Lonchura striata: one gene and its partners. The protein of the gene in region 2 binds, or shares a complex with, the protein of the main gene of each other region. Links are inferred from orthologs where the notes say so. Each region holds a gene or a part of one and is shown on either strand. Other genes may lie near its edges.

Region 1 (7,738 bases), on a different chromosome or scaffold from region 2:
CTGCAGCAGAAGTTCCTTGTTTGTCCTTTTCACTCCTACCCTTGAATTTCACAGGCAATCCAAAACAAACTGGGAATCTACAAAATATTTGCACAGTAGTTTTTTGGGGTTGGCTTTGTTTTACACAAGTTAGCTGAAGGAAATAAAAGTCACTTCATTATCTAAGTTGATTGCTTCTTTTCTCAGACGCTCAGGTGGTTACTGCCTTGCTTCAGCTCACAGGTAGACCACATCCTACCTGAAATTTAAGAAAATCTCCCTGTTCTTATTTTAATGCTTAAACACATGAAACCTCTAATGCCCTTCTGTGAAGAAAATATATTTTGTCAAGTTACATGTGTACTCTAGATGTCTTGCATATCGGAAAGAACTTTTTTCTACAAATAGGTGGATTTTAACCTTTAAAATCTCATTGCTAATTTCCAGAGATACACAGGAAGTCTGAATAAGGTACCTGCATGCAACACATGTGAAATTCCTTCCCTACTTATACTGGTGTAACCTAGAGTTGGCCTTTTCCTCTTTATTTTGTAAAGACAGACAAGAAATTGAAAAAATTTACCAAAGTGCTTTGAAGGTTAACTATGATGGCTATTAGGATGGCACCACACCTGACAGAATACTGTCATACTCTGGTTAAACTGGAAAGACACAAGCCAAATGTAAAATCATACTCAGCTGCTACAGCATTTGTTTACAATGTCTGTGTCAATGATTTATACTCACACAATAAAATATTAAGACCGACAAACTATAAACTTGGTAGCACAAGAATTCTAACAGGTTTTTCTTGCAGTGTATCAATTCTGACAGTACTCAAGATCCACCAAAAGCACTGCAGATATAATGTGTTGCATTACATAAAATCAAGTATAAAAGCTTAGTTTTATATAACTGTAATATGCATACAGATGGTCTTCAGGACAAGATATCTAAACTAAACTACAGTTTGTACAAAATTTGAAGTAGAAGCAAATGGCAGGAATTTTGCCATTTCTAGTACAGTGTCCTAACTCAAAATGGGAAACTCCCTCTATTTGTGGCTCTTGTTGGTTCTTCCAATATTAAAAACTTTCTAATACTGAAATCAACTGCAGAGATTTTGAATTTAATAGACAAAATTCAAAGAAGGGAACTATTTTTCATCTATTTTGGCCAAATAGTACATCAAAACTATAAATTGAAATTCAGTTATTTGACAGCAACTATGGCATAATAATAAAATAAAAAAGTCCACTTTATAAAAATCACCAATGTCAAATAAAATGCAAACTGTGATCTCTGAACAATGCACAAGGATGAACCACGCAGTTAAACTATTGTTCCTGCCTTCCAAATGCATTCCTTTAACCAAGCAATGGAAGATAAACCCATTTGCCTAATAGAGCATATAATTTAAATATTTCAGAGAAGAACTGACAGAGATGCTGCTTAAAATAAATTTAAGAATCATCCATCCAAATACCTTGCAGGATGAAGACCCCAGCATAGTTCACAAGTTATTTTTTCTATACAAACTCCAAACTCTACAGCCCCTGCAGTTACTTTAGTTGCTGTGCATACCCTGTATTACAAACAAACCTTTTCCTTTTCTTCCATAGGAGATTTAATACGAGGCTGCATATTTTCTCTTTTGCAGTGCCTTGCTACACTTCTAAAATCACTAAAATTTCAGATTTTACTATTGCACCATGCAGTGCTACACAATTTTGTAAACAAAATATGTCTAAATTTATGGAGCCTTAAAGGACTACTGTATTCAGCAGATTGCAGTACCTTATCCACAGGAAGTTACAATCAGGCAATGTCTATATTCTGTCATTTAGAAGCAGGATTTTTTAACATAAAGCATTTCCATTAATACAAATCAGGAGGGCTGTTTCCCGCCTCCCCCCGCAAAACTTGTATTTAGGGTTTAAGCTATTGGAACGATAACAGGTCTTCACTTGATAAAAAAAAAAAACAAACAACTTAGAGTTATTTTTTTTAACATGCTATGAATCACGTTTTGCATTGTGACCTACCTAAAGGCACAACAGTACAGCGTAACAAGCAAAGTGCGTGTTTTAAGAATTCCCCCTTTCACACACGAACAAGTGCCTTCATGAAAAAAGGGAAAAAACACGAAAGACAGTCTTTACTATTTCATATTCACTAGAAGTGAACATTTCAAAGAGTTTTTCAACTTCTACAAACGTCAGATTTTAACCGTGGACCTCAATACTGCAGGGAAAGCGAAAATTAAAAAATAACCCCTAACTCTGGCTCTTAAGTGTGTAATGGATATCGCGTGTGTGAAAAAATAGGTTAATTTTGTTTGGTCTTTGCTACAAAGAGATTCATCTCCTATGCATACCACAAATAACCTGAGCAATGACTTCCCTCCATGACACGAGCTGCCCATCATATTGCAGGATTATTACAATGTTGGTTTGTTTAGGGCTTGCTTGTGTGTGTGGCTTGCGTATGTAATTCAGGCATTCGCATACATCAACTCCTCGTTGCGCATCTCACAATAAACTGATGAACGCTGTTAAACCTGAACCAGCAGCCTTTAGCAAACAAAGAAGTCTAGCACGGAATCGTGATGCAAAATCACCCCAAAACGTACTACACCGTGCAAGAACCTCACAGAAAATAGCCCGGCAACCTCATTCATTCCCCCCCAACCCAGCGATCTGCTCACCATCTCCGTCTTTATTTCTCTGTCCTCAGCTTATTTTCCTTGCTGCTAGTGGCTTCAAGGAGGTGGCGCACAAAAAAAAAAAAAAAAAAAAAAAAAAATGTTTAAAAAAAAATAAAAAGGGGCAACCCCCCCAACTCTTCAATACAGCGCTGGGCAGGCGCTGGGCAGCATGTCAGCCCTTGTCTTCCTCTCCCGCCGCCCGCGCAGGAGCCGCTCCGCCGCGCCCGCCCCGCGGGTGCCCGTCCGTCCCCCGCGCGTTCCCCGGGAGAGCGCCCGGGCTGCACCAGCTCCTCCCGCCCGCTCACCCACCGAGGCCGCCGAGTAGTCGGAGCCGGGCTGATTTTCCCCTCCCACCTCCACATTCCTATTTACAAAGGGTATCCAAGACCATCTTTATCCAACGGGGGGTGGGGGAGGAAGGAGGGGGAGGTGGAAATACTCATTAACCCTTTTCTTGCATATACCTTTTCTGCTGTGATTTTTGGAGCACACAGGGGAATTCCCCTTTTCTACAGAGCACATGGGCTCGTTACCATCGGGCCCACGGGGTCCCCGCTCCCGCACTCCGGCTTGGCCGCTGACGGTGCTCCTGAAGTAAAAAGGTCCAAGGGCACGGCTGGAAAACGCGCTCCCTCCCCAAACTACTGCTCGGAAAACAACCGGAGCGGCCCGCGGGGAAACGGGAGCGCACTGCCCGGCCAGCCCATGATGCCACCGCCCGCCCATCTCTCTATTTCTTTATTTATTTTTCCAAGCGGGGCACATTCCTCAACACTCGCACCTGGGAGCAGGAACGCGGGAGGCGTGAGGGGCCGCGCGCCGCGCGCCCGCGCCGCCGACCGTCGCGCGCCGCACGCGAACCAGCGCGCGCCTCCCGCGCCGCGAATTTTCCCATTGGGCGGCGCCGCTGCGATCGCGCCCGGCAACCGGAGCGCCATTGGCGCGGCCCCGCCCCGCCGCCGCGCGCTGCCGGCCGCGCCACGCGCCATTGGCCCGCCGACCTGTCCGTCACATGCGGCGGCCCCGCCCCCGGCGGGCGGCGGGAGGGGCGGCCCCCGCGGGGCGGGAGAGCGGCGCGCCGGCGGCGTGCGCTCCGCGGGAGCGGCGCGGACCGCGCGGTCACCGGGACGCGCCCCCGCCCCGCTGCGCGGCAGCACGGTTCCCGCGCTCGGCAGTGAACGCCGCCCGGCACAGCTCTTCGCCCGGGGCGGCGGGCCCAGCTGGTGGCTGAAATGCTGTGGCAGAGGCCCGTCAGGTGCAGCCAGCCAGGTAATGCTGGCACGCGATCCGCAGGGATTTGTCTGACTTGACCTTCTCGCCGTTTGCAGTGGTCTGTGCGCTGCCGTCGTCGCCTCTCAGCTTAGCCTTCGGTAACCGGAATAGCTTGAGCTTCCTACGCCTCTATTTTATATCGTGGTTTAATTTATGTTCCTCCTTTTAATAATTTCCTGTGGTTTTCCTCCCTCCCTAACCGTGGGTGTCAGAAATGGTGCAGCAATGTCCCTGTGCTGTGGACAAAGACAGTGTCGCTCCCTGTTTCCCTTATATATTCTGTATTTTATACAGTAAATAGTTAGAGTAGTCCATTTTACCACAGTATTATCCTGAGAGGTCACACTGAAATAATAACAACTAAATTCTTTTTTGAGGTACTTTTTGCCATTCTAACCCCTTCTCTGCATTCTTTATTTCCAGATGTATTTCCTTACATTTTATGCTATTAAAAATGCAATTTACTGGACTGGGATGATTTATTGGACACATCAGATGATTTTTGTAGACAATTGTGACTTACCCACTAATTTATTAGGCTACAAAATTTCCTAATAAATATTTTGCATCATCTAGACAATTGGTGGAGGTATTAAACTAGATATGGGCAAGAACCCATCTCTAGAAAATTGTCAGGGTCCCTGATGTCTCCTCTTTAAAGCTGCTTTTTGAGACCTCTCAGGGAAAAGATATTTAATCTATCTAAAGTGTGCTTTATGCATTCGAAATAATGTGCATTCCAGGACTCAAAGAACAAACTCTTTAAACAAATGTCAGGACTAGTTCTCTTTTAGTCTTTGAAACCAACTCAGGACAATTCTACAAGCCCTTAATTAAGCTTCTGCTTGTATTTTAGCTTTTTCCAAGAGAGGTTCTGCCCTGACAGTACCACTCTCTTAAAGTGGATACAGAAGCAGAGCCTGCTTTGGGATCAGTCTATTTGAGTTTGACAAATAATGGGAGCTATACACTGATCCCCTAGGACAAGGTCTAGAAGGGGCAACAATAACCAAGCTAGTTTTGGCAGAACAAAAGGTAGACACAAGAATAAAAGGAAGAGTCAAAATGGCCACCAAATCCATTATTCACAAATTCTTGCAGTGGACTCTTTTTGTGCAGCCTCCTAAAAGGCTTTTTAAATGACTCTGAACTTATTCTTACTTCCCATATGTATTAAAAATAGAAAAAAATCCAGTAAAAAACAGAATTGAATTTTAAGCCTATGGACACTTTTTTCCTCCCACAGATGTGACTGCTGTTGAAGGTATGCAGATTACCATCTGTAGATTTTAAATTAGAATCAAGCATAGAAGCTAAATGATCTTTGGTTACAGTGATGAATCTATACTTCAAGACTCAGAGTGCCAGAAAGTACAATACATTATATTTAATGTGCATGCATTTAACCAATTTCAGTGTTACAGAGATTTGTATAATTTATCTATTTAGTCACCAGATAACTGCTTTAAATAACAACTCTGTACCTGAAAACATTAATACATTCTAGGTTTGTATGTCTCAAGGTAATAACTGCAATCTATTGTGTTTCAGAAGCAGTAGTACAAAGAATGATGATCATACACTCACCCAGTAATTTTCATCAGTAGATCTCAGGAGACCTTGCAAAGGTCAATGTGATCATCCTATTGTTGATGATGGAGAAGGAAAGCATTGAGGTGAACTTGCTCAATGTCATATGCCCGAGCAGTGCTAAACCTGACAATTGACTTCAGGTTTTCTGTATCCAGGATAAAAGGTTTTGCCTGACAAGCCACCTAACACATCTATATACCCCTGGGAATTCTTTTAATTACTGTTTCACATCTTGTGTGTATTGTGTTTATCAGTGTTAGAACTTGGAAGAACACTTCAGGCTTTTATGGTGTTTCCTTACAGGCTTCACTATAAAACATTTTGTAATTTACAGGCTCCACTGAATCCCTCTATTGCCACCCATGAAAAAAAAAGTAATAAATAAAGTTTGAGGTTTTGTTTGAAAAATGAAATAATATTAATATTTCAGTAGAACAAAAAGGTGACACAGCTCCAATCCTAACCCAAATCTGCAGATCTAGGTAAAATTACTAAATGTTTGGTTATCAGTTCTGATCATGCTGTGCTAATAACTGAAAGCAAATTTGATGTTGTCACTTGTGTTTTCCTCAATTCTCAGGAAAGCTGTTCTGGCTGGAATTCATCCCATTGCAAACTCAGGGCTCAGTGACTTTGGGGGCCCTCCTGGAAGCAGAGTCTCTGCTGAAGGTGGTCAGGGGAACATTATCCCACACAGGGCCTTGTTCTGAGGGGTCAGGAGCTGCATCCAAACCCTCTGAGATTGTCAGCAGCCTTGGGTCTGTTTGTCCTCAGAGCTATGAGCACTGTGAAGCTCAGATCAGGCATGTAATGTTTTTATTTCTCCATAGAATCTGCAAGGTGAGGAGAGACCTTAAAGATCATGAAGTCCAACCTCATTAAACACTGTAACATCTATAAACCACTAAACCACATTACCAGACTTAAAGACCTCCAAGGATGGCAGCTCTGCCACTTCTCTGGGCAACCTGTTCCAACACCTGACCACCCTAACAGTGAAAAGCATTTTACTACTACCCGAATTTCTCGTCTCAGCATGAAACCAGATGGGCTGGCAGCAGGCTGAGGCAGCCAAGACGAAGCTCAGGGGCTGGGAGATGACATCCCAATGCTCTGGGGGATGCCGGGCGGTGCCGCACCGGCCCCGCGCACAGCCCAAGGAGGTCCCGGGGCACAGGGAGGGCTCGGTGCCGATCCCGGGGCACAGGGGAGGGCTCGGTGCCGGTCCCGGGGCACAGGGAGGGCTCGGTGCCGGTCCCGGGGCACAGGGAGGGCTCGGTGCCGGGCCCGGGGCACAGGGGAGGGCTCGGTGCCGATCCCGGGGCACAGGGAGAGCTCGGTGCCGGGCCCGGGGCACAGGGAGGGCTCGGTGCCGATCCCGGGGCACAGGGAAAGGTTCGGTGCTGGGCCCCGGGGCACAGGGAGGGCTCGGTGTCGGTCCCGGGGCACAGGGAGGGCTCGGTGCCGATCCCGGGGCACAGGGGAGGGCTCGGTGCCGATCCCGGGGCACAGGGAGGGCTCGGTGCCGATCCCGGGGCACAGGGAGGGCTCGGTGCCGGGCCCGGGGCACAGGGAGGGCTCGGTGCCGGTGCCGGGGCACAGGGGAGGGCTCGGTGTCGGGTCCCGGGGCACAGGGAAGGGCTCGGTGCTGGTGCCGGGGCACAGGGGGAAGGCTGGGTGTCGGTCCCGGGGCACAGGGAGGGCTCGGTGCCGGTCCCGGGGCACAGGGAGGGCTCGGTGCCGGTCCCGGGGCACAGGGAGGGCTCGGTGCCGGTCCCGGGGCACAGGGAGGGCCCGGTACCGGCAGCGCCGGCGGGAGGAGGAGCCGGCCCGGCCCCCGGAGGGGCGGTGTGCTCGGCCCGGCCGCCCTCCGGAAGCGGCGCGGGGGACGGGCGGCGCGGCGGCCGTGGGTGAGTGAGGGAGGGGCGGGAGGGAGCGAGGGGCCGGGGTCGCCGTGCCGGCAGGGCGGGCTCGGACCCCCGCGGGGCCGCCTCAGCTGCCACCATCCTCCCGGAGCTGTCGGGCTCCTGCTCTGGGCGCTGTGTGTGCCGTTCTGGCCGCAGCCCCGGCCCTCCCCGCCAGGGAAGGTGCTGCTCCTGAGCGCCATTTGCTTAAGGTTTTCAACCTAAATTTATCCAGCAGCACCTCGGGGGATATTTTCAGGTGTCAGTTCGCACCTGTTTTCCT
Region 2 (7,789 bases):
ACTCCACATCAGAGTCTGCCTGTCAGGCTAGAGAAGATCAGACCAATGAAACATCAGTACAGGGTTAAGTTAAATGCCCAACCAAAACCCAGGCTTACCCACCCTTGCTTTATCAAGAGTAGTGGCAGTAGTTTACATCTGCCATAGCAATAAATGCATTAACTATTTATACTCACTCTTATCTGATCTACAATTTTTCTGATCTGAGGTTCAAATCCCATGTCAAGCATCCTGTCAGCTTCATCAAGGACAAGGTAAGTACACCTCCTGAGATTGGTCTTTCCAGCTTCTAAGAAGTCTATAAGTCTTCCAGGTGTTGCAATGCAGATTTCCACACCTAAAACCAAGCAGTCCCATCAGCTGAAGCAGTTTCCCCATTCCCTCAGACAGATGCACCAAGGCTGATCCATACCTCTTTCCAGGTCACGGATTTGTGGTCCCTTTGGAGCACCTCCATAAATACACGTGGACTTCAAACGACACGCTCTACTGTACTCTGCAGCTACCTGCTGCACTTGTTGGGCGAGTTCACGGGTTGGTGCCAACACAAGACACTGGAAACAGGATACCCATCTTTTAGTTCAATACCCATTGGAAGGTTAGTCTGAGACTTAAAATTTTGAGTGTAAAGTTCAATGCCAGATTGACAGAAGTAGATTTAAGCAGCCAAACCAGCAAACCAAGTTACCTGGTAGCTTCCAGGGATAGCAACTTCCAAAATATAACCCAAAATCAAACCCTGTTCTGTACTATTTTGAGGACAACCCAATCAGAGATTATAGAATCTGCTAGGGAAATCAGCCCAACAGGGAACCACTTTATTCACACAGAGAAGCAGAATGCAGCTATGCACTCTTATGAGCAGGACCAACTGAGACTGTAAAATAAAATCCTTAGAAATTAAAATCCCCTTTAATTTAGGAATACTCACAATAGGTCCATCTCCTCGCTCCAGGAATGGCTGATGATTTATATGCACAATGGCAGGCAGTAAGTACTGATTGGAAGAAAGAAAAATCTCATTACAATCTCTTCCTAGAAGTTTTCACCCTGTGCTAGGCTAGGCCATACTGTCACTGCTGAAATCCAGCAGTATTTCAGGCTATAATCAAAACTTACAGAGAGTGTTTTCCCTGATCCAGTCTGTGCCACTCCAACCATATCCAATCCACTCAATGCAACAGGCCAACCTTGTGCTTGAATAGCAGTTGGTTCAGTGAAGTTCTGCCTCTGAATTACTTCCATAACATTTGCTTGAAGAGAAAATTTAAACATACAGATTCAGATGTTGCCCTAATCCAGTCTGGAGAACAGTTAAGTAAACTGGTCTTCACTTACCAGGGAAGTTTGCTTCGTAAAAGTTGATAATTGGTTTTGGACAGTTATGGCCCCTAACTGTGACCTCTTTGCTCGCTCTGTACTGTTCAACTTCTTGCTGCAAAAAGAAACACCCATTATTGGAAATAATGTCTGATACCAGTTATATTTTAAGTTACCCCATCTGTGCCTGCTGGGCCTCATGACCCTCAACATGTTTGCACTTTCTGTTTACTTTTGGCTTGAGCCAGGTCAGGTACATACCGCAGTACGTCTAACTACATCCGGATGTTCTTGGTAGAAGTTCTTCTCAAATTTGGGCAGCTCATCCAAGTTCCATTTCTTTTTTGTAAGTTTCTCCCCAGGGTTTCCAAATTTCTTCCCAGAGAGAGGTCCACCTCTACTTCCTCCAAAACGAGGGGCTCCAAACCTAGGCAAAAAGAACACATTATAGAATGCATGAAAAACATTTTGGTCCTCCTGAACAACTTCACCACTATGTCTGCAGTACACCCATTAACTTTACAATTTAGATGTAGAAACTCTACATATCGAAGTTTCAGGACACTAGAACTTTAAAAGCCATACTTTAAGCTGCAGATGCCACAATCTGCCTGGCCACAATTCACACTCACAAGCTAAGACAACGTCTTTCCCATTTCCATACAATGCAATTGAACAGCAAGTTACAACAAGCATTAAAACCTTGGCACTACCCCGTGATCAAAATGGTTTCCCGTCCCAGTGACAGTCCTATTACTGAAAGCAGGAGCAGTTACGAAACCTTGAGATAACTTTCCTGTAAACCGTTCTTTTGCATGTCCCAAAAGACAGACTTCTTTTAACAACGGTGTTTTATGAGGACATGCGCTTTATTAGCGTTTCAGGTTCCGTCCCTCCGTTCGGAGGAGGCTGATCTCGAAAGCCCCGAGGCGCAGATCGGTGCCGCGCACTGGATCCGAGCGCAGGTCTCCCTCCCCCGGCCCGATCACTTCCCAATTTTGGCCGGGCGGGCACTGGGAACGATCCTTCCCAGCACAACACAGCGCTTCCCGAGCGGCCGCTGCTTCCTGCCAGCGCTGTTTCCTTTGTCTCTCATTTCTGTCTACGCCACATTTTCCAGCCGCTGCCATTTTAGAGCCGGGCTGGGCGGGGGGGAGGAGGAACAAAGGCAGCAGCAGCATAGCCGGCATTTTGATTCCCCTCAGCCACCGCATGGCGGGGCCGGCCATTAACATCCGCTTACACAACACAAAGCGGAGCCGGCCGGCTCCGGCCGGCCACAGCCCGAGCCTCGGGAGGGGGAAGGGACGGGAGGGAACCGCCCTGCCGAGAGCTCCCCAAGGCTTCGGCACAGCCAACCCACTGACCCACAAACCTCCAGCCCGCCCGCCGCTCCCAGCGGGGGGAATCGGGCTCTGCACGGACCGTCTGTGCTGGGCGGGGGGCGTCCCAAGGGGGTTGGGGCGAGTATTTTCCTTCCCAACAGGAAAAAAAAAAAATTAAAACTCCCCCACGCTATTCTCAGCGGTAGCACACCCGCGAGGGGTGCTCTGAGGCGAAGGAATCTTCCAGTCGGTGGCCTAAAAAAGCCCGATACCCTCCCCCACGGCCAACCCTCGCGGCGGGAGCGCTGAGGGAAGGGCTCAGGGCCGAACCCCCGCCCCGCCGCCATCTTAAAACGTCTGAAAAACAACCCCGAGAGCCCCACGGGTAGGCTCAGAGTCCGGACGCTGGCGGCGGCTGGCGCCAGCCGTGCCCCCGGACTCACCCTCTATCCCTGTCGCTGGAATACCCGGGCATGGCGATGGTGGCGGTGGGCGAGGCGACTCCGGTCGCTTAGAGCGGGTGGCGAAGGGTTGCACAAGATCCGGCGCCGCTGGCGGGGGCCGCTCACTGTGGGCGCGCGGCCGCGCGGCCGCCGGTTATATAGGGCGCAGCGGGGGCTGCTGGGAGCCGGCGCGTGACGCACGCGCAGGCCCCACCCCCGCCGTTATGCAAGCGGCCCGAGCCGAGCCGAGGCTCCGCCCCTTTGTGGGCGTGGCCGCGGCTCGCCCGGCCGAGCGGTTTTGAGCTCGCGGCCGGAAGTGCCCCCTCCCCGCGGGGAGCGGCCCCCACCCCCTGCCCGCGCCTGCGCGGGGCCGCTGCGGGCGGGAGCCTCGTTCTGGCTGAGGGCATCCCGGCCTGAGGGGGCCGGAAATGCAAATGGAGAATGCTCTCTTCCATCCTCCCTAAGTGCAGGCTTTCGGCCTCCCAGCGTGTTCAGAACGCAGCTCGCAGCTCAGCTCCTCATCACTGTTGGCAGGGCAGAGCCGGACCCTGATGTCCGCAGTGCAGTCCCCCAGTTCTCACAGATCTGTTTCTGAAAATCCTCCTGAAATAACTTGAGATGAGCCCAGGTTTTTAACTAATAAAAACTCATACTTCACGGTACATTGGCTCTATGTCCACCTGTGACTTTCGCTCTCAGAAGGACCCAGATGTGCAGATCCTGGAGCTGGATGCAAAATAACATCAAACCTCCTCAGGCTAGTTCTTTTATTCTGTTAACCCATTGCCTTTTAAAAAATGTTTATAAACATATACATGAACAGAAATATTTATAAGCATATGTCTGTAAAATTACCAGTGTTATCTTTTTGGATTCCACACCAGGGCCAGTAACCTGAGTCAAAGGTCATGTGAGGTGCAGTGGTGCTGAAAAGCTGCTCTGAAGGCACGGGATAAAAACACTCAATACCCCAAGTGGACATTGCTGTTCACCCACCGGCTTTGCCAGGCCAGTGTCAGGCGACCTGAAGCTTTACACACACAGGACTTAAAGTTTTAAGCACAAACACCCGAAGCCACCTGCTCCAGGCAGAGAGGGAAGAAATGAAAACAACATAAGGAAGGAGAAGTGCTATAACAACACTTCCCATTTATATCCTCCCACCTTCTAGCAATCTGTGCTTTAAGGCTTTTCTGGGACAAAAATAACTGTATTTGATGGCCATTTCTTCACATTTGGTTCTATTTATGCCCTTAGCTTGTAAGATACCATGACAATGTATTTTACGGTTTTAGTGTATGCAACCTGAAAAACATTTACTTTCGTTTTCAACATATTGCTGGATAATAATAAGGAGCATAAAACAATGAGTTAGTAGAAATGGTGAGTAATAACTTTTTGTTTATTTATACTGTTTGTGGGCATTAATATCTTCTAAGTCACCTCCTTTATAATAAACCAAAGCTGCAGTGTAATTTTTCCTCCTTTTAAAGCGATTCCATGCTTCTAATTATCCTTGCTATTTTTGCCTTTATTGACAAGAAATTCACAGCATTTAAGATCTGGACCTCATACAGATCTACATAATGAAAGTATAAAGGTGGTTTCGATCTGTTGTGTATTACTTTATAGCAGTTTTTAAAATTTGTTGCTAAGAATAGAGCAGGGTTTGCTAAGACTAGAGGTCTGCATGATATTGTCCTCAAAAGTAACACCTAAGTCAGGGTTATTTTGTTTATGAATAGCCAAAACTGTTCAAACCTCAGCAATTTGGAATTCCACCTTGCTCAACCAATTTTTTGTTGTAATTAATTATTTCTTTCAATAGCACTCCAACTTGACCAGTTTTGCTAATACTACCCCAGCAAATTTCTAGTAGAGGAATGCCCCCAGTTTTTTTCAGTAGAGACTTACTTATTTAATATGGCTTATGAAAAATTTTTAACCCCAAATACCCCTACTAACACTCTCCACCTTCTGACCCTACAGGCTTCCTGTTCCTGGTGAGTCTAAAAAAATTTTTTGCAAACGCTGTAAAAATGAATTATCTTTTCTTGTTCTGGTGCATTTATCTTAACACAGCTTAATTTGGTTTTGTTTGTGTATAACTCTGTGGCTCCTGTTACTGTGCTGTTTAATCTTTCTAAGGTATTAAAGAATTGAAAAGACTAAACAAAAACCCAGTCCCTGCCTTGTCTACACGCAGTTAAGTCTGCAAGGAACTCCTTTCAATTTACTTTGTAAAAAAACTTCCTCATTTTTCTGTTCCACCCTCCTAAGTTAAACATCCTTGGTTTTCCCATGTTCTCTTAGAGCCAGCACATGGAAACAAATCAACAGTTTTGCAGAGCTGTGTATGCAGCAAACTAAAATCTGTGTTTAGTTTAGTTTCGATAGCACTGATCTGTGTTTGCTTACACACAACAAAAGTTCTTTTGTGTTCCTGAGGTGGTGTGTGCACTTGGATTTGGATCGACAAATGACACCCGTGGGCTGCTGGAGCTCACAGCACTGAGGTTTTATTGCTGCCAGTCATTGTTCTTACGGTCAAAATTGGGACCTCAGCTGCCTTTGCCGTGCTTGAGGGGTTTAACGATAAAGGGCACCATTTTTTCTTTCAACATGGAAAACCCAGAATTCCTGAGGAGCATGCAATACTGTTGCTCAGAAAGGGAAGTAAGAGATTTTCACCATCCAACCTGTCCAATAAACTGCATGCTAGCGGCTAGTACAGTAACTTTCATTTACGCATTTTATTTTTAATAAACGTTTTAGCTCTCCTTTCATGCAGAAATGCCTTCGAACTGCCAAACCGTGGCAATTAACAGCAATCCCCGCTAATGGACATACAGGCCAGCAAACGTCCCGGGCACGCCTGCAAGGTCAAGTGGTGCAACTTCCCCCGCTCCACCCCCGCCCCAGGCCGGCCCTTTGCCCACCCCATTTACCGAGATAAACGCCGCCACCCGCCTCCTGTTCAGGTGACGGAGGCGGAACCTGACGGACAGGCCCCCCTCCCCCCGCCTTCCCCGCCGCCATTTTACGCCGCCGGCAGCGCTCGGCGGCCGGAGCGCCCCGGGGCCGGCCCGCGCTGCCCGGGGCCTCGGCCCGCGGGGCCCTGCGCCGGTGGCGGAACCGGGCGGACCGCACCGGCGCCCCTCACGGCACCGGCGCCGCGGCTTAGCTTGGGGCACGGGCTCTTTCTTTTGCTCCCCGTTCCCAGTCCAAGCGCAGGCCTGTTCCCAAGCCCGTTACCGAGGCGCTGGGCCCGCCCCGCTCCCGTAACACCGGCCACGACCGAGAGCACCGGACGCGCCGGGCGCGCGGCCCCGCCCCTTCCTGCGGCTGCCCAATGGGCGCGCAGGCCGCGGTTTAAATGGCGGGGCGGCCCCGGGCCCCGGTCGTTGGTGCCGCCATGGGCAGCGCTGAGGGCGCAGGTAGGGCCGGCCCCGGGGGGCTCCGACCGCCGCTCGCTGCGCCCGGCCCTGCGGTGGGCCTGGCCCCGGGCCCCGCTCCCGGAGCAGCGCCCGGCCTGGCACCCGCAGAGCCGGGAGAGACGACCCGGAAAGTTTCCTTCTCCCTTATCACTCCCCCTCCCCGCCGCTGCTCGCATCGCTGGCACAATTTTATTCAGTCATTATTTATTAAAGCTCACCCAGTCAGTTCATGCTTATTCATTTATAAAGCTGTTGTTTTCTTGTGTTACAGCTTTTTAAGATCTTTGCATTAACCTCCCCCTTCCCCTCTTTGTTCCTTTCCTGGCTACACTTTTAACTTAATAAAGCTACAGATGAACAGTAACTCAAGTGTTCCAAGACATCAGCCTGAAATGTAGATGCTGCTTTAACCTTTGGTGCATCTGAAACTTAAGGTGATGTCTGGAACTGATGGAGTAGAGAGATGGAAAAGTAACACTCCTCTGTACAGAAGACTGAAAACTGTACCAATTTGTTTCTGTTGTAGTAATTCTATACTTTTTTCTTCCAAAGGTGACTTATGTCTTCACCAATAAATTAAAGTTCTTAATGCTTGTTAAAATATGTGTGTTTCAAAGCACTTTGATCTTAGGACTCAAATTTTGAGGAAAATCACAATGTTAATGCACATCTTGTGCTCAGCAGAGAACTTGGTGTGACCACTTCTGTATTCTTCTAATCCTTAAATAATTAAAGTAGAATTTACTTTTTATGAGGAGTAGTTACATTAGCAGTGATGACATTGCCTAAGGCTATTAGAGAACCTGAGTTTGTCCGAGAAGCTCATGTTTTCCAAAAAAAGAACCTGTTATTTCTGATAATTGATAAATGGTGTATCAAAGCTTGGCTTGTTAATGTCTTGAAGGTTTAGAGGTCCTGGCTATAGACCAGATGCAAATTTGTTTTTCATTACATGGAAAAAAAAATTAACCTGCCCAGCCTCTGGTACTTCAGTGTTTTTCACTTCCCAAGTCCAGTTGGGTTATGATTACACTTAAACACTGTTTAATATTTTGGATGGATTGGTCAGCCTCCTGTTTGACCACCTCTGGTGGAGTCAAAGACACTTACAGATTATTTTCACTGTAAATAACCACATCTTTATTTCTGGGTCTTTCAGCTCTGACATTAATGATTTTCTTCTGTACAGATTGGGTTGATGTTGCCAATGATCTTTTAAGGGCGTGTCACATAAACCAGCACATAAAGCATCTCTCAGAATGTG
Region 3 (7,067 bases), on a different chromosome or scaffold from region 2:
GTAACCAAACGCTGCGGGACAAACAAACCAATACTTCCCCCCCGGCCCCGCTTACTGCTTTAGAGAACGAGAATGGAATAGAGAATTACAAAAGCAGGGATCTGGCCACAATTGCCCCCCCAGTAAAGAAGTTTTAAAAGAGAAGAGCAATCGCAGCCTGCGGTCACGAGGACATGCCTGAAGCGACACGTGGGGACACGTAGGTGCTCGGCCTCAATTCCCCTGTCTCTCAGTATAAGGTCAATACTGCCAAGTTCATCTGTGACAATAGCACTTGGAGTCATACCATTGCCTCCATTATTGATCTGATCCTCCTCAATCCTCCTTTTGACAATCCTAAAATGATTGACATGTGCTCCACAATCCTTTAATCCAAAGCATTCTTAATCCATCTCTTCAGATATGTCTACAGAAAGACACACGAAAAGGCAAGATAAAATGTAAGATCCCCCAGAAGAGACAAGTTAGCCACAAACATCCCAACATCCCCAGCTCGTCTCGACCACAGCGGAACACTGAGACATTTACACAGCAATACCACGGCTCCAAGAATGTTGGTATCGAACTAGAACTAAACCAGAACAATCCTGACTGACAGCAATTAAAATACAATTTACCAAAGACAGGAGGGGAATGTCGGTGTCCAGGAGCAAATACTCACTAGGGATTTTACACAAGAATGCAATTCAACACTTCAGCCAATTCGAGTAAAACAGTTGGAATTTGAAAAAAAAAATGAAAGACTGTACTAAGTAAAGGAAAACTGTGTACAACATGGGGTTCTACAAAAAGATCAGAGCTAGAGTGATGTTTATGTACGAGATCGGGATCTGCTGTGGCGGGGAGAGTAGCGTGGAGATCCTCTGCTTCTTCTTGGGGAATAACTGCGGCTTCTGCTGTTGCTGCGACTACGGCTCCTGCTACGACTACGGCTGCGGGACCGAGATCTTCCATAGCTTGGGCTTCTTGGGCCATCAACTTTAACACGGATGTAGGCAGTTTCTCCCTATTGGATAGACAGAACTTTCGATTGACACGTCGAGGCTTCAGGGCCATGTTTCAGGCATGCTGACAGACTGCAGACAGTGCTACTATGGCCGGGACACACAGCAGAGCTTACACGTCTATGTCCGGCCTGACCACACACTCACTTAGCTGCCTCCTAACCAAACAGCGACCACCACGCGTTCCTTACCTTCAAATCCTACTGTTAAGCCCCTTGTATCCAATTCTGGCCAAAGAGAATAAGTGTGATACCTACCTCGTGAGATCTAAATTTAGTGTTATCCAGCTTTCGCACAGCGTAGGTCATGTCTTCCTTCCGCACAAACTCCACGACACCAGTGCCATCTCGGAAAACATCAGCATAACATACATCACCTGCTTCACGCATGTGATCCTTTAAATCCTGCCAACTTCCACTTGGAGGCAGCCCTAGGGAAAAACCAAAACGTGACTTTAAAACCGGATTAGAGCCTCACCTCCTGTACTGCAGCAGCAGAGCAGAGGAGCGCTCAGCATCGCGGGGACACCAAAGCACACGGGGCCATGCTTTTTAAGGAGATGCTGGCAGCAGCACCGCGCCTGCAGGACCCCGGGGGAGCGCTTACGCTAAGAGAGAAAGAGAGAGCAATGACTCACCCGAGACGATCACTCTGTACTCCGAGCGCCGGGACGGCGGGCCGTACCTGCCCCGGGGGGCTCCTCCGCCCCCGCCGCCCCCGCCGCCTCTGCCGGTGCCGCGGCCGCTCCGAGGGAACTCCACGCGGAGGCGATACCCATCGTAGTCGTAGCCGTCCCGCCCGTAGACGGCGTCCTCCGCGTCCCTGCGGGCGGCACGGGGCGGGCGGTGAGCGCGGCCGCCGCACCCCCGCCCGCCTTTGTTCGCGCCGCCCGCCCGCCGCTCCCCGCCGGGCCCCGCCACCGCGGCCCGCTGCTCCCGGGGGGCTCCGGGCAGCCCGGGGGGCCAGCGCAGCGCCGGAGGGGGCTCACCTGGGGTCCTCGAACTCGACGAAAGCGAAGGGCGGGCCCCCGCGGCGGTTCTTCAAGTCGATGTCGCGGATGGCGCCGTACTTGTAAAACACGTCCTCGATGTCCTTGGTGCGGATGTCGGGGGGCAGGTTCCCCACGTAGATGCGGCAGTCGTTGTTGCCGGCCGGGCCGCGGATGACGCCGCCGCCGGACATGGCGAGGTCGGCAATGTTGGCGGCGGTGCGGGGCCGGGCCGGGCTCTCGGGGCGCTCCGCCTCACCTCACCGCCGAGCGCCGCTCCAAAATGGCGCCCGCGCCTCCGCTCGCGCGGCCTCTGCGCGCACCGATCCCACCGCGGGCCGCACCACCGGCCGCAGCACCGCCCGCAGCAACGGCGGCTCAGCGGAGCGCGCGCGCGTCTTCCGCCGCGCCCTCAGCCTCCCGCCGCGCGCATGCGCGGTTCCGCCACAAAGTAGTCCCTCGGTTCTTGCCGCCGCGGAGAAGCCGAGTCCGTACGGGGGTCTCGAGGCTGCGGGAGTTCCGTTATACCGTGCGGAGACTGCGGTCCCCGCGGCATATAAAAGACGCTCCTCCCGGTAGCGGCTCAAACGGCGGAGGCCGCTGGCGTCACGTCCGGTGCGGCTCCCCGCGCCTTTAGGCCCGGCCGGGGAGGGCGCGGCCCAGAATGCACCGCGCGGGACGGCGGGCGCGCTTGGCGCCAAGAGCGGGCGCGGCCCACAATGCACCGCGGCGCGGCGGGGCCCGCTCTGCCCTCATGGCCGCGGCTGCGAGCCCGGCTCTGCCTCTGCCCTGTGCCCGGCTGCGAGCCCGGCTCTGCTCTGTGCTGTGCCCGCCTGTGTGCCCGGCTCTGTCCCCACTTCTGTTCCCGCCGTGCCCGGTTCTGTGCCCAGCTCTGTCCCCCGAAGTGGAAGGGCAGTGTTACAGGCACATTCTTCTCTCTCCCAGGATTTTTCATAGGGGAGCACAGAGGAAAGAGAGAGAAAACAATTTCTATTTCTGCTCCTTGTTTTTCCCAGGTGGAATGTGTTTGGAGAATTGTTTACCTGGGGTGATTGGTTTGATTCAGGTGAGGATTGTTTGAGCCTGATGGCCAATCCAACCCACCTGGGGCTGGGCTCTCAGAGAGGGGCACGAGTTATGAGTGAGTTATATGGGACTTAGAAAAAGTAGGTTTGTAGTTTTAGTATCTCCTTTAAATAGTATATTAATGTATTGTAGTATAGTTATAATAAAGAAATCATTCAGCGCTCTGAACTGGAGGCAGACATCAGCATTTTTTCCCAGTGGGTTCACCTGCACTTACAATAGGGCAGCATGTCTCTGCCCCAAGGTTTTTAAGGAGAAATGTCCATGTTGGATTGCCAAGGGTGGGAGAGCCCATCTTCACAAGGGCAAAGGGTAAATTCCCGACTGCCTGGCCATGTTCTGCATCTGTGACAGAGTCTGAGGTTTCACAGTTCTCTCTGCAGTGGGGCACAACGCCTGTCGTGAATCTGTGTAACCTCAGGGGGTGATTTGGGGCAGATAATGGGCTTTGAAGATTGAACAAGCTGCTCACAATTTAACAAGCTGTTTGGTTATTTGCCAGCTCACCAGAAACACTTCATGGAGTTCCCATGCCTGGAGGTGCCCAAGGAGTGGCAGGACTGGCACTCAGTGGTGATGGGCCCAGGATTGGACTCAGTGGTCTTGGAGGTCTTTTCCAAACTACGATTCAGGGATTCTGTGATCCCTGGCAGTGCCCCAGGCCAGGCTGGATGGGCTTGGAGCAGCCTGGGACAGTGGGAGGTGTCCCTGCCATGGCATGGATGAGCTTTAAGGCCCCTCCCAGCCCAAACCTTTTTGTGATATTAAAAAAACCTAACAAGTCCTCTTGCCACCAAAAAACAACCCCACAAAGATCCTGATTATGCTTTTCCCAGGTGTAGGGAAACTCCATCCCTTGCCAAGAAATGAGTCTCTGTTTTCAAAAACTCATTAAAACCACTGAAAGTTATTCTTAAAGGCATCATGAACCAATGGTAACTCTGCCTGCTTTGTGTAAACCCCATTGCATAATTTCTTTTGTGTCTTAATAATCCTCATAACTGCTCTAAATGATTCTCTTAATTACCTTAATGAAGTGTCTCTTTATAGCAGTATTAGATGTTTTCTTCCTCATCACTTTCCTTAGGTCTGTGTTATCACTGGAGTGTTCAGTTGGAGATGCTGCACAATACTTATTTCTCAGAGTCAGTTTTGGCTCTCTAGCAAAACACATATGTGGGGAATTAATAAGTTATGTAGAAAATAAATTACTGGGAAGGCAAGGCAAATAATCTTGCTGAAAAAAAGAAGCCAACTACTCAAAAATGACAAGTTTTTGTCCTCAAAATGGGAGCAATGGAAACGAGGGCTTTCCAAGGGAGAATAATGCAGATATTAGGCACATAACATCATTGCTTATTGTTATTCCTGCTGAAACTTGGGAGGCAGGAGGTTTCCCAGGCAGAGCTGCAGGGCTGGGGCTGTGGCCTGTCATCGCCCAGCTCTGTCACACAGAACCTGTTTGTCCTAATCCTTGCTACAGAGCATCCAGCTGGATTAGTCCTGACTAATCTTACTGTGTTGCAAAATAACAGTTCATCAAAGCCCAGATTGTCTGGGAGAAAAGGGTCGGTTTTTAAGAGGCATCTGAAGTAATTTTTTTTTTTTTTTTTTTTGAGATCTGAGCAATGAACTGTCCAAACTTGTAATTTCCCTCTGGTAACTGTCCTTTGGAATCTGCTGCTGGAGGGGTTTCCTTGGCATTGCACCAGGAACTTGAAACCACACAGGTTGTGCCTTTGGAGTGAAATACAAAGCTGATACTTTGGGGGTGTGTGTGTGTGTGTGTGTCCATTTTAAACAGTGCTTCCAGGTGATCAAACTTACTGTTTTGCATGTAGGAAAAAAAAAAAAAAAATCCAAAAATACCAGTCTGACTTTTTCAGAGAAACTCTGAGCTTAAGATAAGACAAGGAAAGTGTGTGTAAGCTTGAAAATAATTCCCACAGCAGTGGATGGTGACAGCTTGTTTTATTTATGCAGATTTAACTGCAAGCAAAGAGATTTCCTCTGCACATGCTGGGGCATGTCTGGATGCAAACAGAAAACACAGCACACTGCCAGTGGGAATTTTTCCTGGAAGCCAGCCCAAAAGGACACACACAGGTGGGGACTTAAAGGAGAAAAGCCAGACGAGCAGAGGTAGCACCACCACAATTCAAATCGTCCCAGGGGGATTGGGAATGCTCATTTTTTAAATTTCCAAAACCCTGCTGTTTTTCCTTTCTGAGAACAGCCACACCCCATGATGTGCTCAGATCCCAGGTCCCTGGAGCACAGTGAGGGGGCACAGGGAAGCAGAATCAGTTAAATTGTACGTGTTTATTTGTTGGGCTGGTAGCAATAAAAGGTTAATTTTTAAATATTAAAAATAATAAAATTGTTTGGTTTGCTGTGATTTCTGCTGTCTTGTTTTCACGTTACTTGGATTTGCAGTGATTCCCACATGCCAGCACACCATGGCTGGGGCTGGGAGGGAAAGGGGCAGCAGTTAGCACAGACCAGAATTTTCAGTGAGCCCCCCCAGTCCATTTTCATGGATTTATTTCTCTGGGAAGACATTTCTGTTTATCCAGAGCTCTGCCATTGCTCCCTGCCTCCCACTGTCACCGAATATTGTGGCAGCTGCTTGCATTGCTCTTCCCTCTCCCTGCCTGGTGGGATGCTCCAAGGCCTGACGAGGAGAGGGAGGAAAATAAATGCAAGCTGTCAATGTAAATAAACCTGCTAACAGTCATTGCTGCTAAGGAATAAATAAGCGGAAAGGAGCGAATCCATTTGGGTCGCTCACTCCAGAGGGAACCTCGCGGTTTGGCGGGGACTGGGCAGCGAGGCTTTTCCTGCAGCTGCTCCTTTTCCTTTTGCTGTTGCTATTTTCCTGGAGTTTGCTCCTTTCTGCTGGAGGCATTCCCACACTCCAGGTGCGTGGCACACAGCTGGCTGAGCCATCCACGCCGGGATCCGCTGGGCAGCCGCGGCCGGAGCGGCACAGCTCCGGCAGCGGAGCTCACCGGCCCCTCCTGGCACTTCCCTTCCCAGCTCTTGTGCTCCAGCTGGGAGTGGGCAGTGCCATCCTGACACAGGGAACTGAAACGCTGTTTGTAAATTCGAGGTGATGATCACTTCTTATCTGGCGTGTGGCGTCTGTCACCATCCCTGCCAGGACACCGCAGGGCCACAGACACATCCCAGGGGTGTCTCTGGACGGGCCGTGCCACCCAGCCAAGCCTTGGGAGCGTGGACAGAGCTGCATCTCTTGGTTCTCCAGAAAGAACCCAAATGTGCCAGGCCTGGGTGGTTTTTAAAAGGTTTTCCATTAGCTTTGCGTGGAGAGCCGCTGGCAGCGCTGCCGATGTCCCCGCTGCCTCCCCGACTCGGGGCTTTCAGCACCACGCGGCCCCTCTGGCATCACTGAGGGTCTGCTGATTTTATTTAACACGAGGAACTACAACGAGAGAGAAATGCATTAAGATTGGTTTCAAGCAGACTATTTTAAAATACAAATAAAGTTTTTGGAGCTGTTTTGTGGGCGCTGTAACTTTATGTAAACACTGGAGGAGGCGAAGGACTGTGATAACCATGTGAAACAAAAACTCACAGAGACCAGGGTGGGAGGGACGCTGAGCCATATATTTTTCCTGTTGGAGCTCAATGAAAGGCAAATAAACGAGGAAAAATAAACTCAATGTTTACAAAAGGGCCAGCGTGGGATCAGCTGCCAAGGTTTGCTGATCCCAGTGCCCAGGTACTGCTGAAAGGATTCTGCTTCCACTGGAAATCCTGTTCCACAGCATTTTATTATCCAGACATTCCTAATCTAGGAAACCTCATGGTTCATATCCCACTAATTCTTAAGGAGAAGGATGCAAAGTAAGTGCTTTTAAATGAGCAGGTTAAAAGATGTGTCAGAAATTAGGAGCGGGGCCCCAGCAGCGGCTGTTCCATGCTCTGCTCTGCAATGCAAATGCATTTGATTTATGTATAATGCT
Region 4 (8,530 bases), on a different chromosome or scaffold from region 2:
CAAGGAATCCAAGGAATTTTCCAAAGGGATCCACGGGCTGACACAGCCCCAGGAAGTTTGGGGAACGCTCCACGCCCCAAAAAAAAATATCCAACAGGAATTCCAGCCTGCATCGTGCCTTCCTAGGGAAATAAGTGTCCCCAAAATATCCTGGGATGGGATCCCAAAATATTCTGGAATGGGATCCAAAACTATCCTGGAATGGGATCCCGAAATATCCCGGGATGCTGGGATGAGATCCTAAAATATTCTGGAATGGGACCCCAAAATATCCTGGGATGCTGGGATGGGATCCTGAAATATTCTGGGATTCCAAAATATTCTGGGATCTGGGATGGGATCACAAAATATCCTGGGATGGGATCCCAAAATATCCTGGGATGCTGGGATGGGATCCTGAAATATTCTGGGATGGGATCCCAAAATATTCTGGGATCTGGGATGGGATCCTGAAATATTCTGGGATGGGATCCCAAAATATCCTGGGATGCTGGGATGGGATCCTGAAATATTCTGGGATTCCAAAATATTCTGGGATCTGGGATGGGATCACAAAATATCCTGGGATTCTGGGATAGGATCCCAAAATATCCTGGGATGGGATCCCAAAATATCCTGGAATGGGATCCCAAAATATCCTGGAATGGGATCCCAAAATATCCTGGAATGGGATCCCAAAATATCCTGGGATGGGATCCCAAAATATCCTGGGATGGGATCCCAAAATATCCTGGGATGGGATCCCAAAATATCCTGGAATGGGATCCCAAAATATCCTGGAATGGGATCCCAAAATATCCTGGGATTCTGGGATGGGATCCCAAAATATTCTGGAATGAGGTCCCCAAAATATCCTGGGATCCTTCAATGGGATCCCAGGATGGGATCCCAAAATATCCTGGAATGGGATCCCGAAATATCCTGGAATGGGATCCCAAAATATCCTGGGATGGGATCCCGAAAAATCCCGGGATGTGACCCCAAAATATCCCGGGATCCTGGAATGTCCCCTCTGTTCCCCTCTGTCCCACCTTCCTCAGGATTCCAAGGAATCCTCGGGAATTCTGCGGCCCTGTCACCTGTGCGAGGCCTTCAAATTCCAGCCCCTTTTTCCACGGGAAAGTTGGGAACATTTGAAAGCACGGATAACATTCCCGATAAGAGGCGGCGGCACACGGAGCGGGGAATAAAACATAAATTAAAAAAAAATAAAATAAAAGCAGATAAAGGTGGAAAACCCTCGGAGCATTCCAAGAGATCAGAGGAACAGGAACATTCCTGGAATCCCTCCCTCCTTCCCCATGTTTTTTAGGGAGTTAAGGCACTTTTTATCCCTAAAAAAAACGATTTTTATCCCTAGAAAACCGAATTTTAACCCTAAAAAACCGATTTTTACCCCTAAAAAACCGGTTTTTGGCCGGGTTTTGCTCCGTGGAGCGGAGCTGCCGTTGCCCCCGGGAAGGGAGGCGGCCGAGTTTCCAGTTCTCCCGGGAGCCCGAAGGGAATCCCGGCTCCGCAATCCCCGAATCCCCTCCCGGGCCACCGGCGCCGGTTCCACAGAAGCGCTGGAGTCAGCGGGAAGCGGCGTGGGACACCGGGGAGCCCCGCGGAACCGGTCCGGGCGGCTTCCCGGAGCCGGGACACCGGCAGCGAGGGGAAAGAACGGGAAAGGGAGGGAGCGGGGCGGCTGGAGCCCCGGGACCGGGACCGGACCCGTGCCCGGGACAGGATCCACAACCTGACCGGGACAGGAGCCCCGGGACCGGGACCGGACCCGTGCCCGGTACCGAACCCACAACCTGACCGGGACAGGAGCCCCGGGACCGGGACCGGACCCGTGCCCTGGACTGGATCCATGTCCTGGACCGGGACAGGAGCCCCGGGACCGGGACCGGGACCGGGACCGGGACCGGACCCGTGCCCGGTACCGAACCCACAACCTGACCGGGACAGGAGCCCCGGGACCGGACCCGTGCCCGGTACCGAACCCACAACCTGACCGGGACAGGAGCCCCGGGACCGGGACCGGACCCTGTTCCCGGTACCGGACCCCGCGCCCGGGACAGGATCCACAACCTGACCGGGACAGGATCCCCGTTCCCGGGACAGGATCCCCAGACCGGTTCGGGACCCCATTCCCAGAACCGGACCCCGTCCCCAGAACCGGACCCCGTTCCCGGGACAGGATCCCGTTCCCAGAACCGGACCGCAATTCCCAGAACCGGACCCCATTCCCAGTACCGGACCCCATTCCCAATACCGGACCCCATTCCCAATACCGGACCCCATTCCCAGTACCGGACCCCATTCCCAGTACCGGACCCCATTCCCAGTACCGGACCCCATTCCCAATACCGGACCCCAATTCCCAGAACCGGACCCCATCCCCAGAACCGGACCCCATCCCCAGAACCGGACCCCGTTCCTGGGACAGGATCCCGTTCCCAATACCGGACCCCGTTCCCAGTACCGGACCCCATTCCCAGAACCGGACCCCGTTCCCAGAACCGGACCCCATTCCCAGTACCGGACCCCATCCCCAGTACCGGACCCCATTCCCAGAACCGGACCCCGTCCCCAGAACCGGACCCCGTTCCCGGGTCAGCCCCCACCCCCCAAACCCAGCCAGGGCCGCCCCCCCGGGACTCCCGTCCCGCTCCCATCCCGTCCCGGCGCTAACCGGGACCGGAGAGGAGCCCCGGTCCGTGGGGGGGTCCCACCGGAACAAAAGCGGCACCGGGAGGGTCCGGGGCACGGCAGGCCCGGCCCGGCCCCGCTCCCCGCGCCGCCGGTGCACGTGGGGCGCGGTACCACGTGCGGGCGGCGGCGGCGGCGGCGGCGCGGGGCCGGGCCCCGCCGGCACCGGGAGGGCACCGAGCCCCGGGGGGGTCCCACCGGGACACGCGGGGGGGTCCCAGCCCCGAACAGCCCACCGGACCCCCGAACCCGGGGCTCTCCCACCGGCGGGGGTCGCCCGGTCCCACCCGCTCCCCCCCCCCCCCCCCCCCCGCCGTTCCCCCCCCCCCCCCGCACCGACCGCGGCCCGCACTCACGGTTGGCGATGTCCCCCCCCATCTTGTACTTGGTCACCACCAGGTCCTCGGCGATGGTGAGCTCGGCGGCCTCCTCCTCTCCCGACATGGTGGGAGCCCCCCGGAGCCCTCCCGGTGCCCCCCCGGGCCTGCTGGAGCCGCCCCCCCCCCCCGGTGCTGAGGGAGCCCCGGGACCGCGAGACCGGAGGCGCGAGCAGGGCAGAGCGCGGGCTCCGCGCGGGGCACGCTGGGAACGCCAGGCCTCCACGCCCCCCTGGACTACAACTCCCATCACCCCCCGCGGGCAAACCCAGCCCCCGGACGGGAGCGCGCTGCGCCGCGCCCACCCTCGCGCTGCGGACTGCAACTCCCGGCGTGCAGCGCGGCTCTCGCGAGAAGGGGTGGGGGGGTGAGAGCGGAAGCGGCGCGCGGGGGGCGATGGGGGTTGTAGGCGGAAGTGCCGGTGCGGAATTTCGGTGCCGGGACGCCGCCGGGACCGGTCGTTCTGCTCCTCCCTCTGCCAGCGCTTCCTCGCCACGTTCCTGGGCTCAACCCTGCAGCAACGCTCCCACTCACAGCCCCCAGCCCCGCCGCGCCCGTCCCATTCAACCCCCCCCAACCCCAGCACCGGCACCGCGGCCACACCGGGGCCGGTCCCCGCTCTCGGTCCCCGGTGTTCCCGGACCGTGACACCGGAGCCACCCACCGGCATCACCCCCACGGTCCCAACACCACCGGACACCCCGGTCCGGTGCTCCCCTCGACCCCCGTGACCCCCCCCCAAGCACCGGTACCGGTACCGGCGGCTGCCGGTGTCCCGGAGCCCGGTCCTGGTGTCCCCCCCGGTGTCCCCCCGGTGTCCCCGGTCCAGCCCCTCCGAGGTTTTAACTAAATTCTTTTATTTTCATTTATTTCCATCACGCGCGACCCCCCCCCGGGACCGGGGGCGATCCCTGAACGGGGGTTCCAACCCCCCCCCCCAAAACCGGGAAACCCCCGAAAAACCGGGAGAAACACCCCAAAAACGGGACCCCGGGTGACGTCAGGGGAGGGGGACACCCCAAAAGGGGATCCCGGGGGTCCCTCGTGGGTGGGACACCCCAAAACCTTCACTCAGCAGGGAATGGGGAGCCTGGAAATGAGTCGGGGGTCCTTCAGAAATCCCGTCCGGCACCCGCGGGTGGGGCCAGGGACCCCCAAGGGACCCCCAAAAATTTGGGGAGCACCTTCAGTGAATGGGGGGGGAGGAATCAACGATGGGAGGGGGATCCTGGGAGTCTCCGCTGCCCCCTCCCCACCTGGGCGTGCTCAGTCTCACCCCCCCATCCCTAAAAAAAAACCCAAAAAATCCAAAAAAAAACCCAAAAAAATCAAAGCGAGGAGAAGCCAAAAAAGCGCTGAAACCCCACCTGGGGGGATCCTTCATATCCGATGGGAACCCCCCGAATTTGGGGGGGTTTTGGGGGGTCTCGGGGGCTTAAATCAAGATGGGAGGGGAATCCCGGGGGTCTCCGCTGCCCCCTCCCCACCTGGGCGTGCTCGAGACCCCCCCAAAATAAAACGAAAAAACAAAATACCCCAAAAAAATCAAAGTGAGGAGAGACCGAAAAGGCGCTGAAACCCCACCCGGGGGGGATCCTTCACATCCGATGGGAACCCCCGGAATTTGGGGGAGGGTCTCGGATGGAGGGGGGCGTTCGGGGGTCTCAAGGGCGGAAATCAACGATGGGAGGGGGATCCCGGGGGTCTCCTCTGCCCCCTCCCCACCTGGGCGTGCTCGAGACCCCCCCAAAATAAAACTAAAAAACAAAAATACCCAAAAAAAAATCAAAAATCAAAGCGAGGAGAGACGGAAAAAGGACTCAAACCCCACCCGGGGGGGATCCTTCGCATCCGATGGGAACCCCCCGAATTTGGGGGAGGGTCTCGGATGGAGGGGGACGTTTCGGGGGTCTCAAGGGGGTAAATCAAGATGGGAGGGGAATCCCGGGGGTCTCCGCTGCCCCCTCCCCACCTGGGCGTGCTCAGCCTCAATCCCCGCCCCTAAAAAAAACCCCAAAAAATCAAAAATCAAAGCGAGAAGAGACCGAAAAGGCGCTGAAACCCCACCCGGGGGGGATCCTTCACATCCGATGGGAACCCCCGGAATTTGGGGGAGGGTCTCGCATGCAGGGGGGCGTTCGGGGGTCTCAAGGGGGTCCCCTACGTCCGCCGGGCATCGCTTTTGGCGAAGAGGCGGCTGTGCCAGTAGTCGGGGTTGTCGAAGGCGCAGTCCGACGCTTCCAGGCTCCGCAGCGCCTTCATGGCCGGGGCCCCGCGGCAGCGGCGGGGCCGCGCCACCGCCTCCATCTCCTCGTAGCCCTGCTCGGCCCCGCCGGGGGTCGCGGGGGTCTCGGCCGCTCTCATCTCGGTGTAGCCGTCGTGGCCCGGGGCTCCCGGCACGGCGCACAGCGAGCGGCTGAGCCGCGGTTGTTCGTTCATGTACTCGTAGTTTTCTTCCTCATCTTCATCATCCTCCTGGCGGGGTCCCCCCGGCTGGGGGGCTCCCGGGGGTCCCCCCGGCTCGGGGCTCACCTCCATGTATTCGTAGCCGAGTTCTTCCAGCGAGGCCGGGCGGGGTTGGGGGGGTCCCCGGGATCCCCCCCGTTGTCGGTTCATGTATTCGTATTCTTCCTCCTCCTCCTCCTCTTCCTCCTCCGCCGGTGCCGGTACCGAGCCCGCGGCGGGGTCTGCCGGGGGTGGGGAGGGGGTCACGCACCGGGCAGGGGTCCCCAGGGGTGCCAGAGGGGTTTGGGGGGGCTCGGCTGGGCTCAGAGCAGGGCGAAATGAGGAAAGAGCAGCCCCGGAATTACCGCAGAAACAGGGGGTGCACCCAACACCCCAAAAACGGGGTGGACCCCCACCCCAAAAACGGGGTGGACCCCCACCCCAAAAAACAGGGCATGGACCCCACCCCAAAAAACAAGGCATGGACCCCACCCCAAAAACGGGGTGGACCCCCACCCCAAAAAGAGGGGATGGACCCCCCCAGAGACACATGAACCCCCCAAACTCTGCAGGATGGGACCCCCCCCAAAAACAGGGGATGGACCCCACCCCAAAAACGGGATGGACCCCCACCCCAAAAACGGGGTGGACCCCCACCCCAAAAAACAGGGCATGGACCCCCACCCCAAAAACGGGATGGACCCCCACCCCAAAAACGGAGTGGACTCCCACCCCAAAAAACAGGGCATGGACCCCACCCCAAAAACGGGGTGGACCTCCACCCCAAAAACGGGGTGGGCCCCCACCCCAAAAACGGCGTGGACCCCCACCCCAAAAAACAGGGCATGGACCCCACCCCAAAAACGGGGTGGACCCCCACCCCAAAAAGAGGGGATGGACCCCCCCAGAAACACATGAACCCCTCAAACTCTGCAGGATGGGACCCCCACCCCAAAAATAGGGGTGGACCCCCCCAAAGATACATGAATCGCCCAAAATCTGCAGGATGGGACCCCCACCCAAAAAACAGGATGGAACCCCACAGAAACCTCCAAACCGTGCGGGATGGGACCCCAAAAACAGGGGATGGACCCCCCCCCAGAGACACATGAACCCCCCCAAACTCTGCAGGATGGGACCCCCCCCAGAAACAGGGGATGGACCCCACCCCAAAAATAGGATGGACCGCCCCCAGAGCCACAAGAGACCCCAACCCAAAACCCTGGAGGGATGGGACCCCCAAAGGGACCCCCAAGACAGGGGGAGCCCCAAAACCCGACCCAATGGGATGGAAACCCCCTCCCCAAGACCCCCAGCCCCATTCCAGCGGGATGAGACCCCCACAGGGACCCCCAGGACAGGGGGAGCTCCAAAACCCGTTCAAATGAGATAGAGACCCCCTCCCCAAGACCCCCACTGCCATCCCATCGCGATGGGACCCCCACAAGGACCCCCATGGACAGGGGGAGCCCCAAAACCCGACCCAATGGGATGGAAACCCCCTCCCCAAGACCCCCAGCCCCATTCCAGCCCCACAGAGACCCCCAGGACAGGGGGAGCCCCAAAACCCGACCCAATGAGATGGAAACCCCCTCCCCAAGACCCCCAGCCCCATTCCAGCCCCACAGGGACCCCCAGGACAGGGGGAGCCCCAAAACCCGTTCAAATGGGATGGAAACCCCCTCCCCAAGACCCCCAGCCCCATTCCAGCCCCACAGGGACCCCCAGGACAGGGGGAGCCCCCACTCCCATCGCGATGGGACCCCCGGGCCCCCTCACCGCGGAGGGCGCAGGTGGGGGTCACGTATCCGTCGGGGTCCTCCTCGCTGCCCGGGGAGCCGGGCGGCGGCGGGGCCGGCGGGGCGCGGCTCTCCCGGTGCCCCGGGCCGGCGCCGTCCCCCCGCGGGCGGCGGCCGCGCCCGAGGCTCCCGGCCGGGCCGCCCCCCGCGCCCGGCTCCGGTTCCGAGCCGGCGCCGCGACCCTCGGACGACTCCGACACCGACCGGCCCAGCGAGTCCTGCCGGCCCCGCCGCGGCGGCCGCGAGCCCCCGGGCTGGGGGACACCCCGAGTTCACCGCGGGACCCCCAACCGGCCCCGGACCCCCAACCGGCCCCGGACCCCAACCGGCCCCGGGACCCCAACCGGCCCCGGGACCCCGAGTTCACCGCGGGACCCCCAACCGGCCCCGGGACCCCAACCGGCCCCGGGACCCCCAACCGGCCCCGGGACCCCGAGTTCACCGCGGGACCCCGAGTTCACCGCGGGACCCCCAACCGGCCCCGGGACCCCCAACCGGCCCCGGGACCCCAACCGGCCCCGGGACCCCAACCGGCCCCGGGACCCCGAACCTGTCCAGGGACCCCCAACCGGCCCCGGGACCCCAACCGGCCCCGGGACCCCGAGTTCACCGCGGGACCCCCAACCGGCCCCGGGACCCCAACCGGCCCCGGGACCCCAACCGGCTCCAGGACCCCGAACCCGCCCCGGGACCCCGAACTGGTCATGGGACCCCGAACCCACCCTGGGACCCCCCAGCCTGAGGACAGCAGGGGGATGGTGAGGGGGGACACCCCAAACCTGCCCTGAGCCCCCCAGATCCCCCCGATCCCCCCGATCCCCCCAGATCCCCCCGAGCCCCCCGAGCCCCCCGATCCCCCCGATCCCCCCAGATCCCCCAGATCCCCCAGATCCCCCCGATCCCCCCGAGCCCCCCAGATCCCCCCGATCCCCCAGATCCCCCCGATCCCCCCGAGCCCCCCGAGCCCCCCGAGCCCCCCGTACCTGGCGGGGGCAGCCCAGGCCCGGCGGGTTCATGGGGATGTACCCGGCGGGGGCGCTCAGCAGGCTCGGGCTCTGCGGGGACAGGCGGGGACACGGGGCTGGCACCGCGGGGACATCGAGGGGACATCGAGGGGACATCGAGGGGACACGGGGATGGCACCGCGGGGACACCGGGACACCGCGGGGACACGGGGCTGGCACCGCGGGGACACCGCGGGGACATCGAGGG

What was found. The genes of interacting proteins can lie anywhere in the genome.
Region 1: DDX5 (region 2) and ARVCF share a complex: the UniProt entries of both Homo sapiens proteins name them as parts of the ribonucleoprotein complex. The link is inferred for Lonchura striata from reciprocal best matches to the Homo sapiens genes DDX5 and ARVCF.
Region 3: DDX5 (region 2) and SRSF1 share a complex: the UniProt entries of both Homo sapiens proteins name them as parts of the ribonucleoprotein complex. The link is inferred for Lonchura striata from reciprocal best matches to the Homo sapiens genes DDX5 and SRSF1.
Region 4: DDX5 (region 2) and PA2G4 share a complex: the UniProt entries of both Homo sapiens proteins name them as parts of the ribonucleoprotein complex. The link is inferred for Lonchura striata from reciprocal best matches to the Homo sapiens genes DDX5 and PA2G4.

Annotation. Positions count from the first base shown.
Region 1 is NC_134620.1:8,196,941-8,204,678, forward strand, and holds the start of ARVCF (splicing regulator ARVCF), read right to left. Parts: upstream 3,294-7,738; 5' UTR 3,151-3,293; intron 3,024-3,150; exon of another isoform or gene 2,992-3,023; intron 2,909-2,991; exon of another isoform or gene 2,739-2,908; 5' UTR 2,687-2,738; intron 1-2,686. UniProt on the Homo sapiens protein: Contributes to the regulation of alternative splicing of pre-mRNAs.
Region 2 is NC_134621.1:8,414,227-8,422,015, forward strand, and holds the start of DDX5 (putative ATP-dependent RNA helicase DDX5), read right to left. Parts: upstream 3,229-7,789; 5' UTR 3,121-3,228; coding exon 3,089-3,120; intron 1,748-3,088; coding exon 1,582-1,747; intron 1,436-1,581; coding exon 1,339-1,435; intron 1,254-1,338; coding exon 1,120-1,253; intron 998-1,119; coding exon 932-997; intron 555-931; coding exon 413-554; intron 338-412; coding exon 177-337; intron 28-176; coding exon 1-27. Other genes in the region: CEP95 (centrosomal protein of 95 kDa), read left to right, coding at 6,465-6,525, 7,715-7,789. UniProt on the Homo sapiens protein: Involved in the alternative regulation of pre-mRNA splicing; its RNA helicase activity is necessary for increasing tau exon 10 inclusion and occurs in a RBM4-dependent manner. Binds to the tau pre-mRNA in the stem-loop region downstream of exon 10.
Region 3 is NC_134622.1:10,652,365-10,659,431, reverse strand, and holds SRSF1 (serine/arginine-rich splicing factor 1), read right to left. Parts: upstream 2,324-7,067; 5' UTR 2,187-2,323; coding exon 1,993-2,186; intron 1,827-1,992; coding exon 1,642-1,826; intron 1,435-1,641; coding exon 1,262-1,434; intron 1,007-1,261; coding exon 812-1,006; 3' UTR 794-811; downstream 1-793. UniProt on the Homo sapiens protein: Plays a role in preventing exon skipping, ensuring the accuracy of splicing and regulating alternative splicing.
Region 4 is NC_134629.1:9,433,874-9,442,403, reverse strand, and holds the start of PA2G4 (proliferation-associated protein 2G4), read right to left. Parts: upstream 3,294-8,530; 5' UTR 3,142-3,293; coding exon 3,054-3,141; intron 1-3,053. Other genes in the region: ERBB3 (receptor tyrosine-protein kinase erbB-3), read right to left, coding at 5,235-5,761, 7,299-7,572, 8,302-8,373. UniProt on the Homo sapiens protein: May play a role in a ERBB3-regulated signal transduction pathway. Seems be involved in growth regulation. Acts a corepressor of the androgen receptor (AR) and is regulated by the ERBB3 ligand neuregulin-1/heregulin (HRG).